2 linked regions of the Arabidopsis thaliana genome follow. The protein of the gene in region 2 binds, or shares a complex with, the protein of the main gene of each other region. Each region holds a gene or a part of one and is shown on either strand. Other genes may lie near its edges.

Evidence for each region.
Region 1: ARP2 (region 2) and ARPC1B share a complex: the UniProt entries of both Arabidopsis thaliana proteins name them as parts of the arp2/3 complex.

The regions. Positions count from the first base shown.
Region 1 is NC_003071.7:13,345,045-13,353,065, reverse strand, and holds ARPC1B (actin-related protein C1B), read left to right. Parts: upstream 1-3,066; 5' UTR 3,067-3,278; coding exon 3,279-3,348; intron 3,349-3,714; coding exon 3,715-3,803; intron 3,804-3,998; coding exon 3,999-4,075; intron 4,076-4,178; coding exon 4,179-4,273; intron 4,274-4,389; coding exon 4,390-4,459; intron 4,460-4,717; coding exon 4,718-4,787; intron 4,788-5,022; coding exon 5,023-5,096; intron 5,097-5,183; coding exon 5,184-5,226; intron 5,227-5,355; coding exon 5,356-5,437; intron 5,438-5,567; coding exon 5,568-5,656; intron 5,657-5,753; coding exon 5,754-5,839; intron 5,840-6,008; coding exon 6,009-6,072; intron 6,073-6,305; coding exon 6,306-6,406; intron 6,407-6,519; coding exon 6,520-6,578; intron 6,579-6,685; coding exon of another isoform or gene 6,686-6,753; exon of another isoform or gene 6,754-7,018; coding exon 7,019-7,089; downstream 7,090-8,021. Other genes in the region: LBD14 (LOB domain-containing protein 14), read right to left, coding at 1-81; INH3 (inhibitor-3), read right to left, coding at 1,834-2,157; AT2G31290 (Ubiquitin carboxyl-terminal hydrolase family protein), read right to left, coding at 7,668-8,021. UniProt on the Arabidopsis thaliana protein: Functions as a component of the Arp2/3 complex which is involved in regulation of actin polymerization and together with an activating nucleation-promoting factor (NPF) mediates the formation of branched actin networks.
Region 2 is NC_003074.8:9,951,335-9,958,856, forward strand, and holds ARP2 (actin related protein 2), read right to left. Parts: upstream 4,649-7,522; 5' UTR 4,451-4,648; coding exon 4,409-4,450; intron 4,120-4,408; coding exon 4,009-4,119; intron 3,891-4,008; coding exon 3,756-3,890; intron 3,668-3,755; coding exon 3,596-3,667; intron 3,517-3,595; coding exon 3,438-3,516; intron 3,317-3,437; coding exon 3,267-3,316; intron 3,186-3,266; coding exon 3,082-3,185; intron 2,994-3,081; coding exon 2,925-2,993; intron 2,827-2,924; coding exon 2,763-2,826; intron 2,359-2,762; coding exon 2,290-2,358; intron 2,195-2,289; coding exon 2,111-2,194; intron 2,015-2,110; coding exon 1,956-2,014; intron 1,871-1,955; coding exon 1,804-1,870; intron 1,716-1,803; coding exon 1,632-1,715; intron 1,534-1,631; coding exon 1,453-1,533; 3' UTR 1,145-1,452; downstream 1-1,144. Other genes in the region: AT3G26990 (ENTH/VHS family protein), read right to left, coding at 148-223; TCP20 (TEOSINTE BRANCHED 1, cycloidea, PCF (TCP)-domain family protein 20), read right to left, coding at 6,476-7,420. UniProt on the Arabidopsis thaliana protein: Functions as ATP-binding component of the Arp2/3 complex which is involved in regulation of actin polymerization and together with an activating nucleation-promoting factor (NPF) mediates the formation of branched actin networks.

The DNA.
Region 1 (8,021 bases), on a different chromosome or scaffold from region 2:
GTATGGTGCAAATACACAACCCTCTACACATTTCCTACGCAAGAACTTGCATCCTCCACATGGTGAGCCTAAACCTCCCATTCTCAAAACGTAATTATAATCTATTGATATTAACCAACTATTACTATCTTGTAGGAATATTAATACTTCATTACTTATACTCTTCTAGTGACGATTATATAGTGCACGAGTGTTTATGGTAAAGGACTAAGGTGGGATTTATGATAACTCAACTTGTTATTTTACATATTTGTCTCTCTAATGGCTTACAATTACAAGATTGCAGCTTTTATATTTTCCCTCAAGTTTATATTGTAAAACATCTCTCTAATATTCAATAACTCGTTGTAATATATTATTGAGATTAAACTCTTAAGGTGGAGAATATTCTTAAGAAAATATTGAGAGAACCATATTAATATTAAGATCCGATCAAATGAGAGATTTGGTTGACGTATAGGACAAAACAATGAGTAAACATGAACCAAACCCAAGTTGCTTTTTGTTGTGGTTTTAGCTTTTTTTTAATTCATAACTAATTTACTCTCTTATTTTATTTAGAAAAATAAATTAGAGTTTACTTTTAGTGTTTGTTTAGTTGAAAATTTACATGTACTTGTGAAATTATGTTAAGATTGTTGTCATTATTGCTTAATTTGGAAAACAATAGTTTAAGATTTAACAATGCTCAACATATACACCACATAAGTGATTGAGATGTGTGTAGAATAAGAACAAAGGCATTTGATATTAGTAGTATATGAGACAAGTTATTTCTATATCTCGATTTAAATATTTTAAAATGCTCTCAGTTTCGATCAAACTTTACAGACTAGAAAAATAGAGAGACCCATGATTATCCAGCCCACATATTAATCATGAATCATGATTAACATCAAAAATATTCCAAAATAATTGATCAAGTACAAAAGTTAAATTATTCGATAATAATGAACAACTGATAGTGGATTTATGACTTAATGTTGGTTTAGTGGAGATTAAAAATAGTAAGAAAAATTTGAGTTTGAAGCTTTATTTTTGTTTTCTTATCTATGTTAAGGATTTCGGGTGTCTTTAGATATCCTAACTTGTGCCTAGAGTTTGCGGAAAAGACGGAGTTTTGGTCAAAGAAGGACCGGGGAACAAAGAAATAACAGAACCAGTACGGCCATGGGATCGGTCTCACCAATGACTGATCTAGGACTCCTCAAACAACCCTCATAAGCCACATTGGCCGTGCCCATCAGTCAAATGCAGATCCAATATCCCTGGAGCCAACTAAATAACCCGCATCGATCAACCATCATGGTCATAGAGCCACCGATCTAGCCAACCAAACCATCCGACCAGTAGCTACATCGTTCTGCCATATCGGTCATATTTTTTTATCGATCCTAATCACAACCCATCTGATCCAGAAGCTGCATTGATCCCAACATCGGCCAATGAAACCCAAACATTATACTTACCCTTTGCAAATCCTATTCTACTGGGAAAATAATATAGTGCTCATCTTTTAATTGATGAAACCCGAACATTGCATTTTGAGAAATAGTATGCAGTCGCAAAAGCAAAAGCAAAAGCATATTCAAATGTAGAAAGAAAATATAACATCCTTGTAATTCTTTAACTAATTAGCAATCTTCAATGATTCACATCATTTTCAACAGAGTATGAAGGAGTTAACATTGCAATGAATCTGCAAATTACTTGTACATATACATAACGCCCAACCAGGGTTAGATAGGAGAAGAGACCAAAACAACAAATGTGTGTTCTTCCATGATCTATTAAAAAGCTTCAATATATAGTAACGTGAAAAAACCTGATTGATTAGTCAACGGCTTTAGAATCATTAGAAGAAGATGCCTCACCAGATTCGGAGTGTTCATGGTTATGATCACAGTGATGGTTGTTATCATCTTCTTCTTCACTGTCATCCTCATCAAAAGGCTTCTGTTTATGAAAGATGCAACACTTCTTCGAACTCTTCTTCTGCATAAACTCATTGTCTACAGTCCCATCTTTCCATGAAACTTTCTTCTTCTTCCGGTTCAACCGAAGCACTAATCTTTCAGTAGGTTGTGATTGAGAAACAGGGTTTTCTAATATGACAGAAGTTGTTGCTGAAGAGGAAGGCCTTGTTGCTGTGCTCATAGCTGAAGATTAGCTTTCAAAATCTGCATAAAAGACTAATTTCATAAGGTACCAAAATACAAGAACAGAGAATAAAAGTTCTTAATAGTAACAACTAACAACATGCTTAAGAATGACAAGAGCTAAAGATAAAAACTAAGACCTTAAACAAAATCGTAAAACAGAACAAAGCCTTTAGGGTTCATTCTTTAGGTAAACAAACCAAACAGATGCTATTTCTCTAACCCTAAATTCATTGCCTACGAGATCTGAACCCTAATCATTCCTAATTCCAGGGGATAAACACAAATCGGTGATATGAAATTGAGAATCAAATGTTGCAGTAAACAATAGAGAGACCTAGTTTCGATCGTAGAAACAATAGCGAAACCTAAACCTAGGGGAAAAAAAGATTCAAAGAATCAAATCGACGAAGAAGCAAACCTGTGAATCCCCAAGGAGGAAGGGACGCTTGTTGAATCGAGAAACTTTTTTTTTTTTTCGTTTTGTTTTTTTTTTCTTTCGCCGATGGAGAAATTTAGTCGCTCCAACCAAAAAAAAAAAAAAAAAAAAAATTCGGTCTAATTTTATATTTATTTTCTAAGAAATGTTAATATATATATTAGAAAAAAGACTAATACAGTGTAATTAATTTTGAGAAAACTATAATGTTAACTTATTTGGGATTCGAAAACTGAATATATAGAATGACTTTATAAGTTACTCATACTCATAGTGAGGTTTAGTTCAGATTTTTACATGGATGGATTTGATTAAATCCAATTATGTATATTTAAGTATTTAACTAATGCAGAATTTAGATCTTATTTTTTTTTTTGCTTATTATTATGCTGGGCCGCCCCTAAGACAGGGCCAAGGAAAATAGAAAATGATCTGGTCATAAAAAATTGGGCTATAAGAGTAAAATAAAACACACAAACAAAAACATCCGTCTCTTTCACTTACACTTTCACTTCACGTTTGCGACTGTGTCGTCGTCAAGCTCCGGATCTCATCGGCGTTTCATCATAATTATCTGTCCATCTATTCACCGTACGACTCCGTTTTAGAAATCTGTAGATGTCAATTTGAGAGAAAAGACTGTCTTCATTACAACACATTTGGGACAACAAGGATCACTCATGGCAGTGGTGGATGTTCATCGTTTCGCTGAGTCAATCACTTGCCATGCTTGGAGTCCTGATCTCTCCAGTATGTTTCTAACACCTCTCTGATTTTGTGATTCTCTTCTTTCTCTCTTCCGTCGTTTTTCTGTTTTTAGAATTATAAATGAGGAGGATCTTTAGTTAGTTTTTCTGAATTGACTTGTGTTATTCTTATACATCTTGGTAATCAAGTTTCTTCTAAATCCCTATAATTGAGAATTTTCGAGTCAATGTTTTATATGTCTGTTTGTCGGTGTCTCTTGTTAGGAGCACTTGGTATCTAGTATTGTACATTAGTAGATGCGCTTTTCTAAACAGATGAACCAAATCTATTGTTACAAATGATTTAACGTCTGTACTAAAGCCTGTAACCATTTATGTGCTTTGACATTTGTTTCGTTTTTCTTGGTAGTGGTTGCTCTCTGTCCTAACAACACTGAAGTTCATATCTATAAATCATTGTCTCAAGACCACTGGGAGAGGTTACATGTCCTCCAAAAGGTGAAACCTTTCTCTCTCCCTCTCTTTCTGTAACTTTTGAACTTGCACTCCTTTTGCTTTCTCTTCTTGGGAATTCCTTACTTTCGTATATTTATGTATTCTCATTTCACTGATCACTTGTCGCTGATAAGTGTTGTATAGACAGCTTGAATCTCCCTTACAACAACTTCATGATTATTGTTCGTCTTGTTGCAGCATGACCAAATTGTTTCTGGAATAGATTGGAGCTCAAAGTCCAACAAAATCGTCACTGTTTCTCATGACAGGAACTCGTAAGTTGCTACCTTTGATATACTTTGAGAAACTCCAAACCTGTTAATCTTAGTCCTTCACTTTTTTTCGTTCGTTGAACTGAGTTTAGAATGCTTCTTGAAGGTACGTCTGGAGCCTGGAAGGAGCTGAATGGGTACCAACTCTCGTTATTCTTAGACTAAATCGTGCTGCACTTTGTGTCCAATGGAGCCCCAAAGGTAAATGTTTAATTTTTCTGGTTCTTAAGCTTAATTTCCGTAATATATCATGTAATTTTCCTATAATTTCTACAGCTTCTAATCTATGTTCTCATCTTTTTGCTCAATACCCATAGAGAACAAGTTTGCTGTTGGAAGTGGTGCTAAAACTGTTTGTATTTGCTATTATGAGCAAGAGAATAACTGGTATTTTCTTCTTCTGCTCCTAATTCTCATTATTAGTCCTTGATTTTTTCTTTGGCAAGTTTCCTGACTTCTTTGCTACGAATGGTGTTGTTGGTCTATGTAATGATATTATCTTGTCTTATGTACTGGCATGATATTAGCACCAATCATATTTTTTATTATCTTGGCATGCATAACTGTGTATTGTTTAGAGATTTTAGAAAGATACTTTCATGTAAACTTTTAGTATCTGACATTGCTTGGCTTTACTGTTTGCAGGTGGGTCAGTAAGCTAATCCGGAAAAGGCACGAATCTTCAGTCACATCTGTTGCTTGGCATCCTAATAATGTACGTGCAATCAACAGAACCTCTTGTAGTTCATGTAGCCAAAATATTAAGCAGGCTCTCTGTAAAAGCTTTCTCTACCAAAAATATTCTATAAGTTGGCCACCAGATTGAGTATAGAGTACATGATCCCTAAAAATAGAATATCAATCTCCACAAACTAGTTAATCTTCTAAATCATTTTTTCTCGTATGCTTTTTTATGTTGCTGTGCTCTCTGATTGTCTGTTATGCATTAGGTTCTTCTGGCAACGACATCAACAGATGGAAAATGTCGGGTATTTTCAACATTCATCAAAGGAGTTGACACAAAGTATGCTCATTACTTGAACGTCTACTTTTAAGACATTTTTTCAAACATGAGGCCATTTCTTATTTTTCTTTCAATGGGCTGATACAGGGATTCAAAAGCAGGCTCACCAGCGGAAACGAAATTTGGGGAGGTTCGACTAGTTTGGCTGGCTTTCCTTCTTTTAGTAAATATTATAATTCTTGTGCCATATATATGTTCCGTCTACTCTCTCATCTAATGTTAGGGAGTTTTTTTTTCTACTGTGGCTTTGTTGAAACAGCAAATTCTTCAGCTTGATCTCTCATATTCTTGGGCATTTGGTGTTAAATGGTCTCCAAGTGGAAACACCTTAGCATATGTAGGTCAGAAAATCCTTCAGACTTGGGATGTTTTTCCATTGCGCTCTACTGAAATAATACAATGGAACTTCAACTTGGTTGCAGTTTTTACTACCATCTGTCATACTTTGCGTGTTTATGTAATCATGTATAGGTCATAGCTCCATGATTTACTTTGTTGATGATGTTGGCCCTTCTCCTTTAGCCCAAAGCGTTGCATTCCGAGATTTGCCTCTTCGTGATGTGGGTCAGCATCCACCTTTATTTTACTTTTGAGAACCTGGTTTCTCCGGTGTGTTATGTCCTGAATTGATATATTATGGGGAAATTGCTATTTCAGGTCCTGTTTATTTCTGAGAAAATGGTGATAGGGGTTGGATATGACAGCAACCCGATGGTATTTGCTGCAGATGATACTGGAATATGGTGTGTAACTCTCAGAAATATCTGCTTAAAATTCTCTTTCTTAGGGGTTTGCATACTATCAAATTTTCAGTTCTTTTATTCCTCTTAGATCACAGGCCGGATTGTTGGTTCTGAAACGAACCACTACCAATAATTGCTTCGTTTACAAGTTTTTGTATTTGGTCTGTAGGAGCTTCATAAGATACATTGGAGAGAAGAAAGCGGCATCTTCAGGTTCCAGTTACAGTTCGCAGGTACATACCAAATCTTCTTTCTTATATTGCAATATGTCTGGTTTTAGCCTTTTAGTGAAAAAAATATGACTGAACTTTAACTTATCCCTGAGTTGTTCCTCTAAAGATCGTAATCTTTGGGGGTTAGTGTAGTTCCTCTCTTTCTTTTTTTCTTGGATTTACGATACGACTTTCCACTTGCATTATTTTGTTGTGTTGTGTCTGACACATCTGTTCATTATGTTATTTTTCAGTTTTCCGAAGCGTTTGGAAAATTCTACGGTAGTCAATCAAAGTCTACAACAGCCAACGATGCTTCTGATTCACGTGGAGGCGTTCATGATAACAGCATAACGTAATTGTTTCTTTATCTAACTTGGCTTGTACCAAATCATTTGCCAAAAAACTGTCTCTTTAGCTCTTTTACTTGATTATCTGTTAAGAGCTGACGTAGAAGTTTACCTGCAGTTCCATTGTGCCTCTGGGCAAAGGAGGGAGTCCTAAAGTTATGCGATTCAGCACTTCAGGTCAGTCACTAAATTTAAATTTATATAACCCTTCATGGAATCACCCGATTCAATTCATACAAAATGACAGGTTTCATTAGCTCGCATTTTCGGTTTATTATTTATAGGATTGGATGGCAAAATAGCCATATGGGATCTAGAGAACATGCAACAAGAACTTGGCAATCAGTTTTAATAAAATCTGGATCAGTAGTCAGCTTACTTAATTTGTATATCAGATTTTGTTTCGACTAGCCTTTTCACCTTTTTCCAATTTCGTAATTGTCACACTTGGTAAACTGCATAATAAAGGCCATGTTTTCCTGGTTTGTGTAAGGGCAGGTGTTATTAAGTTTTGAGCTATGCCCTTGTCTCTGGATCTTTGTAATATCTTGAATGCTCTATCATTTGATTCATTATACGAGTTGGTATCTTGTATATTAACATAATAACATTTTCAGCTTTGTGTCGAATGAGTTCTCCGGACAACAACCACAGAAATGAATGCTATATATCAACAAACTTGAAATGAATCTTTTCATCTGTGATGATATATACAATCCAGAATGAAGCTGACACTAGTATCATCTGACATAATCATCGGGGAATCAAAAGCTCCGCTTAATATCTGTGTAATCAAAACATGGCTTACATCAACTGAAGCACGTACGTACGGTCTTCAGGGGTTAGAAAATTTGACCACTGGTATGTCCTTTAGGAAGCTGCAAGGTGACTTTATACACAGACCAAATGTGAAACCAAGAACACATATCGGGAAAATTCCAAGTACGTGCAAATGTTTTCACTCAATTTCTGGACCACGTTCATGAAGTATATAGCATTGTTTCAGAGAACTCTTAACTCTTGATTCCCGCCCAAACTGAACTAAGTGAAAGTATTCCAGCTGCCTTAATTCACAGATTCTATCTTGATCTAGCATCTGCGGGGAACAACTCGTATTTTGCATTTGTTTACAAGCATATTGTGATCTTCGTAGCTTTCAGAAAAAGCACAACGTCTTAGAGATTGCAGACTATATAGGTAAATTTTTCTCCATTGGGTGTCACTGAAGAGAATCTGAAGAGAACGTCCAACTTTACCAGAATGTTCTTATTGGGTGTCACTGAAGAGAATCTGATAAAACCTTTTTCTCTCTTCTGGATCAAACAGACCACCTGGTCGATCCCCATGGTTTTCTTCTTCATCGACATCATCTCGATCGTGGTTCCTGTCTTTCTTTCGCACCACAGGCTTCAAAGATTCAATACCTTTCTCTCTCTTCTTCTCTAGATTAGCCAAATATCGCCTGTGATTATACTCATACAAGCCCTGCTGCATCAATTCCCCAAATTTATCCTTCACAACAACGAGCGGGTCCTTGTGAATCAATTCCGAGCCATTGTATCCTTCTCTGAGGATCACAGTGTGAACCTGATACTTGTTTCCAACGTAGAATATGCCTGG
Region 2 (7,522 bases):
ATACCAATACTTTCATCTTATACCATTGTTACTCATTAACTTAGATACCAATTCTGTATAGTCTTTTCCAAGCACCTATTTAAGTACTTAAACAATGAAATTACAGAGCTTTACTACAACCAAATTATGATATACAGAAGAGGATACTCTCTATGCTTGCTTGAGAATTGTTGAGCTTGGCAAGCTTCTCAACTAATATCTGAGCGTTAAATGAACTACCCATTGCTTCAACACCAGCTCAAAAACCAGTGTGCCTTCACAAAATCTATAGAGAAACAAAGAAGATACAAGTCAAAAACCCTAAGAGTCATCAATCAAAGCAATGGAAAAGAAAACAAAAAGGGTCAAGCTTTCTGACAAGGAACTCGTAAGACGAAGCGAGAACTAGACAATAGGACAAGTACGTGCATAAACAAAACTAGTTAGTGGCTTTAGACATCAAAGCTTGTATAAACCCTAATCTACGAGAGATAACCAGAGACCAATTTCAGTAGAAAGCAAATACGGAAAAAACAAGCGCGAAGAGGAAATTACAGAGAGAATCAATCAGAAGAAGGAGATTGTTGCGATGATGCTAACAATTAGCAGTGAAGGAGCCAACGAAAATCACGGTTAATAAAATGGCGCCGTTTTCCGATAATGTCTCCAAAACTCGCCGGAGAAGTTTGAGCAGTTTGGAAATAATCTTCGTCGTGGTTAGATTTGGATGAACCACCGGGTGATTTCTCTATAACTTTATGGGCCTATATCTCTTTATTGGGCCAACGCTCATAATGTTTTATATGTCGTTGAGGTAGTTTAACAGTCACCAACACCAACGTTTCTGACACGGTGTTGCCGTTATTGGGCCAAAGCCCATATTAAGACCTCAAAAAGTTTTTACAGTTTTTTATTTTGGGATTGTAAATCAGTTTTTTTTGTTTCTAGTTAATTTAAAAGTTTTCAAATCCTTTTTTACTCATGGCAGGTTAGGTAATCATTTTGTCTTTGATCTAGCTTGAAGCTGCTGTACTTAGACTAGCTGCAGAACATGCAGTAGAAGGAAGCTGGTTCCATCAATTCAGAGTTGTGGCAATCTTTTGGGTTTTAACAGAAAACAATAGGGATCTACCTTGTGTGGCAAGAAATAGGGTTCCTTTTCAAAATTACAAATAATCTTTCACTGTTTTGACTCTGTTTGCTTACTCAAGAATTAAGATATATGCATTTCGTCTCTTCTCGACCTTTTGGCTTTGGTTATTACACAATATATTAGTCTCAACATTATTAGTTAATACACGTTTTTCTGTATATCCCACCAATCACATGTCGAATTTTGGATCCCTAACTGCAACCAATTGTACTCAAACTTTGAAACCTAAAATACTGAATTCACAAACGGAATTAAATCATCCTGACGGTAGTAAAAAAAAGGGGTACAAGTACAAGTATGAGTTCTGCGTTTGAAAGTTATTAAGCTTGGCTCATTTTATTCAAACAATTAATTCCTTCTTCCATATAGTCCTCTCTATTGATCCAGAACTCTGGTGCGTCCTGCAACATCGAATCCAAATTCTCTTAACATCATAACACAGACTAAAATTTCATGCTTTCGTGTTAAAAGAGAGAATAGCATTGAACTTTTCTCTTACCTTCATGATTCCTGCAAGAACAGCACCTCCGAGGTATACCATGTGTTTCCTTCTCGGTGGATCTTCGATCCGCAATCTGAGTTTCTGATTGATAAGAAAAACGAAGATAAATGTTAAAAACTGAGCTAATGACTGACAGTGATCATGGCATTATCAGAATCATCTTTTTTACCTTCAAGCCATCTTTGTTTCCTTTTAGAACTGTGTCGAGATACCGATCCTGTATTTCTTTCTCAAGACTGAAACAAACAGAGAATAAAAGACAATGAAACATAAAACAATGGAACTTCTTGCTGGGTTATGATGAAGAAAAAATATACGAACCGGCTAGGTAATCCTGGGTACATGGTGCTACCTCCGCTTAAAACTATGTGTTGGTAGAGCTGTGAAAAAAGAGCAAAGGGTTTAAGACAGATAAATGATTAGTTTTGTTGGATCTTTCTTTTGAAATACCAAGCAAGCGTAAGAGTCACACGAACCATCATGCGGTTATCAATATCCATTTCTTGAATACATCGGAAAACCATGTCTGCCATTCCATCACCTTCAACATCAATGAGTTCCTGAAAAAATATTTGGTTGTGATCAGCCTCGAGATTCTTGGAGGGTTGAAACTATTCCAAAAGAGAAATTAGCAGAGGACGCGATGAAGGTTTACCGGAGTAAAAAGCGCTTCAGGTGCTTGGAATCTTTCAGTGCCTACTTTGATAACCCTCCCATCTGGAAGCTGATCACAGTTCAAAAACACAACGGGTTAGTACTCTGGAAAAAAAATAATTTGGTGATAATATCAGCTTTAGAGGCTGCAACTGGCACAAGTATGAAACTTTATCGACTATCGGATGAAAAATCCCAAACACAGCGCCCAAGAACAGAGAAACGATGTCATGAAAAGAAAAGATGATAATATCATTCTTTCATTACCAAAAAGAACAAAGGAATGATGGCACGAATCTTTAAAGTTCTCTACAGGCTCAAGTTCGCCAAGAATCTGCTATCTATTTAGTTCTGATCATGAGTTTGGATTCCTATTAGCTTAACGTACACTAGTTTCTGTTTCTTGCCTCTATTTGCCATCGAAACCTTGAAAATTCACACACCTGACAGGTTCATACCAGGAGAGAGACTTACAGTATAATTCTTAACAAGGATAGTTGTCTCAAGGCCAAGCTGAGATTCTCTCTTGTAATCATAACTGCAAAAAAAGACAAAACAAATTGTGTTTATTTCCTATTCTAGTAATGCATTACTACACAGATATTAGAGGAAAGCTGAGAAGAGGTCTTTGCATGCCTTATATAGCAGAGCTTCTCTTTAATTTCCCTAACCGTCTCAAAGTCAGCTGTTTTGTTCATCGCATATCTGTTGAACAAACAGTCTTTTAGTTTAGCTAATTTAAAACATCTCAACATCATTAAAATGAATGTGAGTCTATGAATCAGTTTCTCACCCTCGTCGAGATAGTAGATCAACGAGATATGCTGTTATGTGTCTGCCAGCAACATTCATTCTTTTAGTAAGATGAGGGAACGAGTAGCCGTCAACCACCGGAACCTAAGATGTGAGGCGAAGACGGTTAACTTCTCTATTATAAGCAATATATGATCTAAAAAATTACAGAGGTTTATAGCTTACCACATGAGTAACACCATCACCAGAATCAATAACCAAACCAGTTAGCAAACCTGAAACCAAGAGTTCAACACATGAAGAAAAATATCAGGGAAGCACACATAAATGCTATTTACAGGTGACTATCTAAACACACGAAAGAAAATCTAAACCTTCAATAGTCTCCATAAGCACCTTGAGCATAGAGAGTCAAAACGGCTTGGATTTGAATGAAAACGCCAGCGAAATTGTATTTCTCAAACATTGTCTCAATCTGTTTTATAACATAAAATAAATCACTGCTCCAACAACCATCAAAGCAACTCTTAACCAAAGACTTGATAATATCTTACCATTTTTTCACGATTCTTGGACGGATTAAGAGGTGGATCCGTGAGCAATATCTTACAGTCAGATGGATTGATCTGTTAATAACAAAAAGGGTTTAAGAGTAAGTCAAGACACATGGAACCGAGACAAAAATGGCAAGAAGAAGCAGGAGAAGAAACTTACTTTCAATTCGTTATAGAAAGCATGATCCCAAACATGTTCCATATCATCCCAATTCTGCACAATACCATTGTGGACAGGATAATTTATATCCAATTGATGCCGGAGCTCAGAGCAAGTCTCCCCAACAACTATATCCTAAAATGAAACAAAACCAAAACGTATATGAATCCGAATTACGCATATCAGCTCAGTCAAAACTCAAAAGGCTAACAATGATCTGGTTTTGCTTATTTAAAGTCACATATCTACAAACCTTGACTTGTTGCTCCATGAGTGATTCTTCATACCGAAGCAATGGCCTTCCCACGACACAGGGGAAAACAGACGTTGGGAAATTCTCTCCAGCAAATCCACATTTTACATACTGAAAAATTTAATAAGAGGCTCACAATTTGTTCCCATCACAAGAAACTCAAAACTTAAGCAACCCATTATGAGATTTCTCATGTATTAGTTTTGATTTCAATAGAAACACGATCTTACACTATGCTAAGACATGAAAGTTTTCAAATTTTGCAACTTTAAGACAACTAGATCCTAAACAAACTCAAAAGTGAGATTTTTAACGAAACCCAGATAGGAATGGAATGATTGATCAGATTCAACTAAAGTTCGGAGTCTGAAACAAGAGATATCAGAGAGAAGAAGCTTACACCGGTGCCGTTGTCGCAAACGACGACGTTTTTGTTGTCCATCTTCTCCGATTTCTATAGAGACTACAGATTTTTATCGAAGTACAAAAATTTCGATTTCTTCGATTCGATCTCTCAGGGAACAAAAGAAAAAACCTGTCTTTGAATCGAAGCGAAGAATCACTCTTCTCTACTTGTTTGGTCGCGATCGAGAAAACATATTTGCTCTTCGACAAACAAAAAGCAGCTGTTTCCTCGTTTCTTTATAAGAATGCGCGTCGTTTACTCTACGTGAAAACGTCACGTAGTGCAAACGGTCAATACATAGAAAAAATTATTAAATACGTTACCCCTTTTCTCGAATTATTGAGATGGAGTTAACTTGGTTGTGGGTATTGATGGGCTATCTCAGGCCCATATTAGGTCAAACAGATAATTCTGTTTACTTGTATAACAATCTTCTAGATGATCTAAACTAAGAATTAGTAAATGATCATCATGCAATCCCTTGATCAGAGATTTCAATCACTATTAGGGTTATGTTACGAGAAAGATGTTACTAGGGTTTTGGTACGAAGTTGGGATATCAATCTTCTTCTAGGTTTTTTTGTTGTCTCTATGTTGTCTCAATACTAAAATTTATTCTACATAACATGTTGTAAATTAAGTTCCTGTCACAACATGTTATGTATCAGTCACCAATATAGTAAAAATAAGATAAGACTTTTACAGTTTCACACACACAAGTCCAATGACTTGTTCGATGTAAAATCAGCTTTCATGTTTTCACTTTTATATAGGTTAATTAGGACACACACTGTCTCTCATGCTTACTGGAACATTGCTAAGCTGCTTTATTTAGTTCTGGTAAGAACAAAACTGCATGTCTTAGACCTCAAAGTAACCACGCGTTTCATCTTCACTTCTGTATATTGAAATGGAAGAATTCGTAGACAAGTCAAGCTCCTTGCCCAATGTGTCGAAGAGAATGGAAATTAAAAGAGTAAGCAACTTAAGTCACGCTCTCATCATGAGGGAGGCTTTGGAATGGATCTATTGGAGTTGTATTTGGACCATAGTGTTGAGTTAGATCATTGCTCAAAAGGGAAAGAGAGAGCTTTGTGAATGTTTTTGAATTTTCTTCACTTGTTTTGATTGGTTGGACAAATCATAGAGATCAAGCAACTTTTTGACTCGTTAACCTCTCTCTCTCTCTCTCTCTTAGTCTCTTTCCTTAGTTCCGTCAAATTCAAGTCAAAATGAGTAAAATGATATAAACTTTTTGACTCGTTGAACAATTTATACTTATCTTTGAAAAAGCTTGCAAGGCAAAGAGTAAATGCAATACCAGCTTATTTGGTTCCCAACTGCGAAGGGTTTGTACCTAGTTCAAAACCTTCCCACAGTTAACGGCACACTCAGGGCAATAACATGAATGTAAGTAAGAGTTAAAGAATACAACGTTACCATCATTGTGAAATCCATTGCAGCTCAAAGCCACTGAATCAGAACATGCAGCGAAGTGTTTTACACTCGACTCTAAACGAAAGTCTTTAACTCATTCAGAGAGATCGAACGAAAGAGAACAATCTTTGGAGATGCAATAGAAGAATACTGAGCAAAAGAGAGCTATAAATCTTCATTCTACAAATATGTGATGGAAGACAAGTATACATTACCATTGTTGTACTATCTGAAAAAAGCCGGTTTCTTGATATTCAAAAGCAACAAAACTCAGAACAAGTAAAAACAAGCCTCTCTGCAACTTAAAGACTCCAAACAAAAAAATCTCTGGCTGTGTGTATTCAACAAACTCCACCTGCAAGTTCAAACAACAACTGCCAAAAAATTGTCACAAACACTCGGAAAAAAAGGTTTGAAGATTCCACTCTCTTGTATCATCATCCTCAAATTGAACTCACCTTGTGTTTTTGCAGAGGTTTCAATAAGTATAGATTATCACTCTCACTCAGTATATAACCTTTTCTTTTTCTTCTCCATGGTGGTACAAATTACAACAATATTATCACAAAACAAAAGCCAAAAGCTTTTTCAAATCCAGAAGATACAAAAAAAAACCCAATCCTTTTAACGACCTGAGCCTTGAGAATCATCTTTCTCACCACTCTCTTGCTGATGTTCTTCATGGTTATGATGCATATGGTGAAGAACCCTACCTTGAGCTTGAGCCTGAGCCTGACCCATCTGTTGATAAATCTGAGTAAAAGACTGAGGATTCAAAACACCAACATTCCCTTCTTGAGACAAGCCTAACTCAAGTCCAGGCATCTGATTATGATTCCCACCCAAAATAGATGCAAAACTCATATGACCAACACCAGGAAAATCAAAACCAGGAAACCCAATTCTATAACCAGCTCCTTCACTCATTAAACCAGTGGTTGGCACACCAGAACCAAACCCAGCTACATTTGGCCATAACCCAGTTGGTAAACTTGACCTAGAAACTCCTTCACCGCCACCAATCCCCCAATTTAATGGTCTACCACTACTACTAGACCCACCATCTAAGTCATGACTGATCATTAAACCAGCAGTAAGAGACCCACCTTGATGATGGTTAGAGGTTGCAGCTGAAGAAGCTAAAGCAGAGGCCGGTATAGTTCCTGAACCAGTAGCTGCAATAATCGATGGCTCAGCTTGTTGAAGCAGCCACTGGATAGTTTCACCATCAGATTTATGACCCAATTCTCTAGTCAATTGAAAAATCCTAGCAGCACAAAGAGCAGGCATCCGAATTCGTCGACCTCTACCTTCGACTTTAGTGTGTCTGTCTTTGTTAGAGCTTCTCTTAGGACCAAGCTGGTTCTGATTCTGACTCTTCTTGTTTGGTTCTTTGTCGGAAGCAGAGACCACGATCTGGAAATCTTTAATCTCAGTTGTTGGTTTGCGATTCTCGTCGGAAACAACAGCAGAAGCAGCATCATCATCTACCAAACCCTGATTTCGCGGTGGTGGTGGTGGGTTCAAGAAATTTGGTACTTGGTGACGATTTAGGTTCTTGGGATCCATCGAAGCTTGCTTGTGTGGGGACTTCAGGGTCCAGAGACTTAATTTAATCAAAAATTCTCTTGGATTCAATTAAGGGTTTCAGAATTGTGACGACTTTGTAAA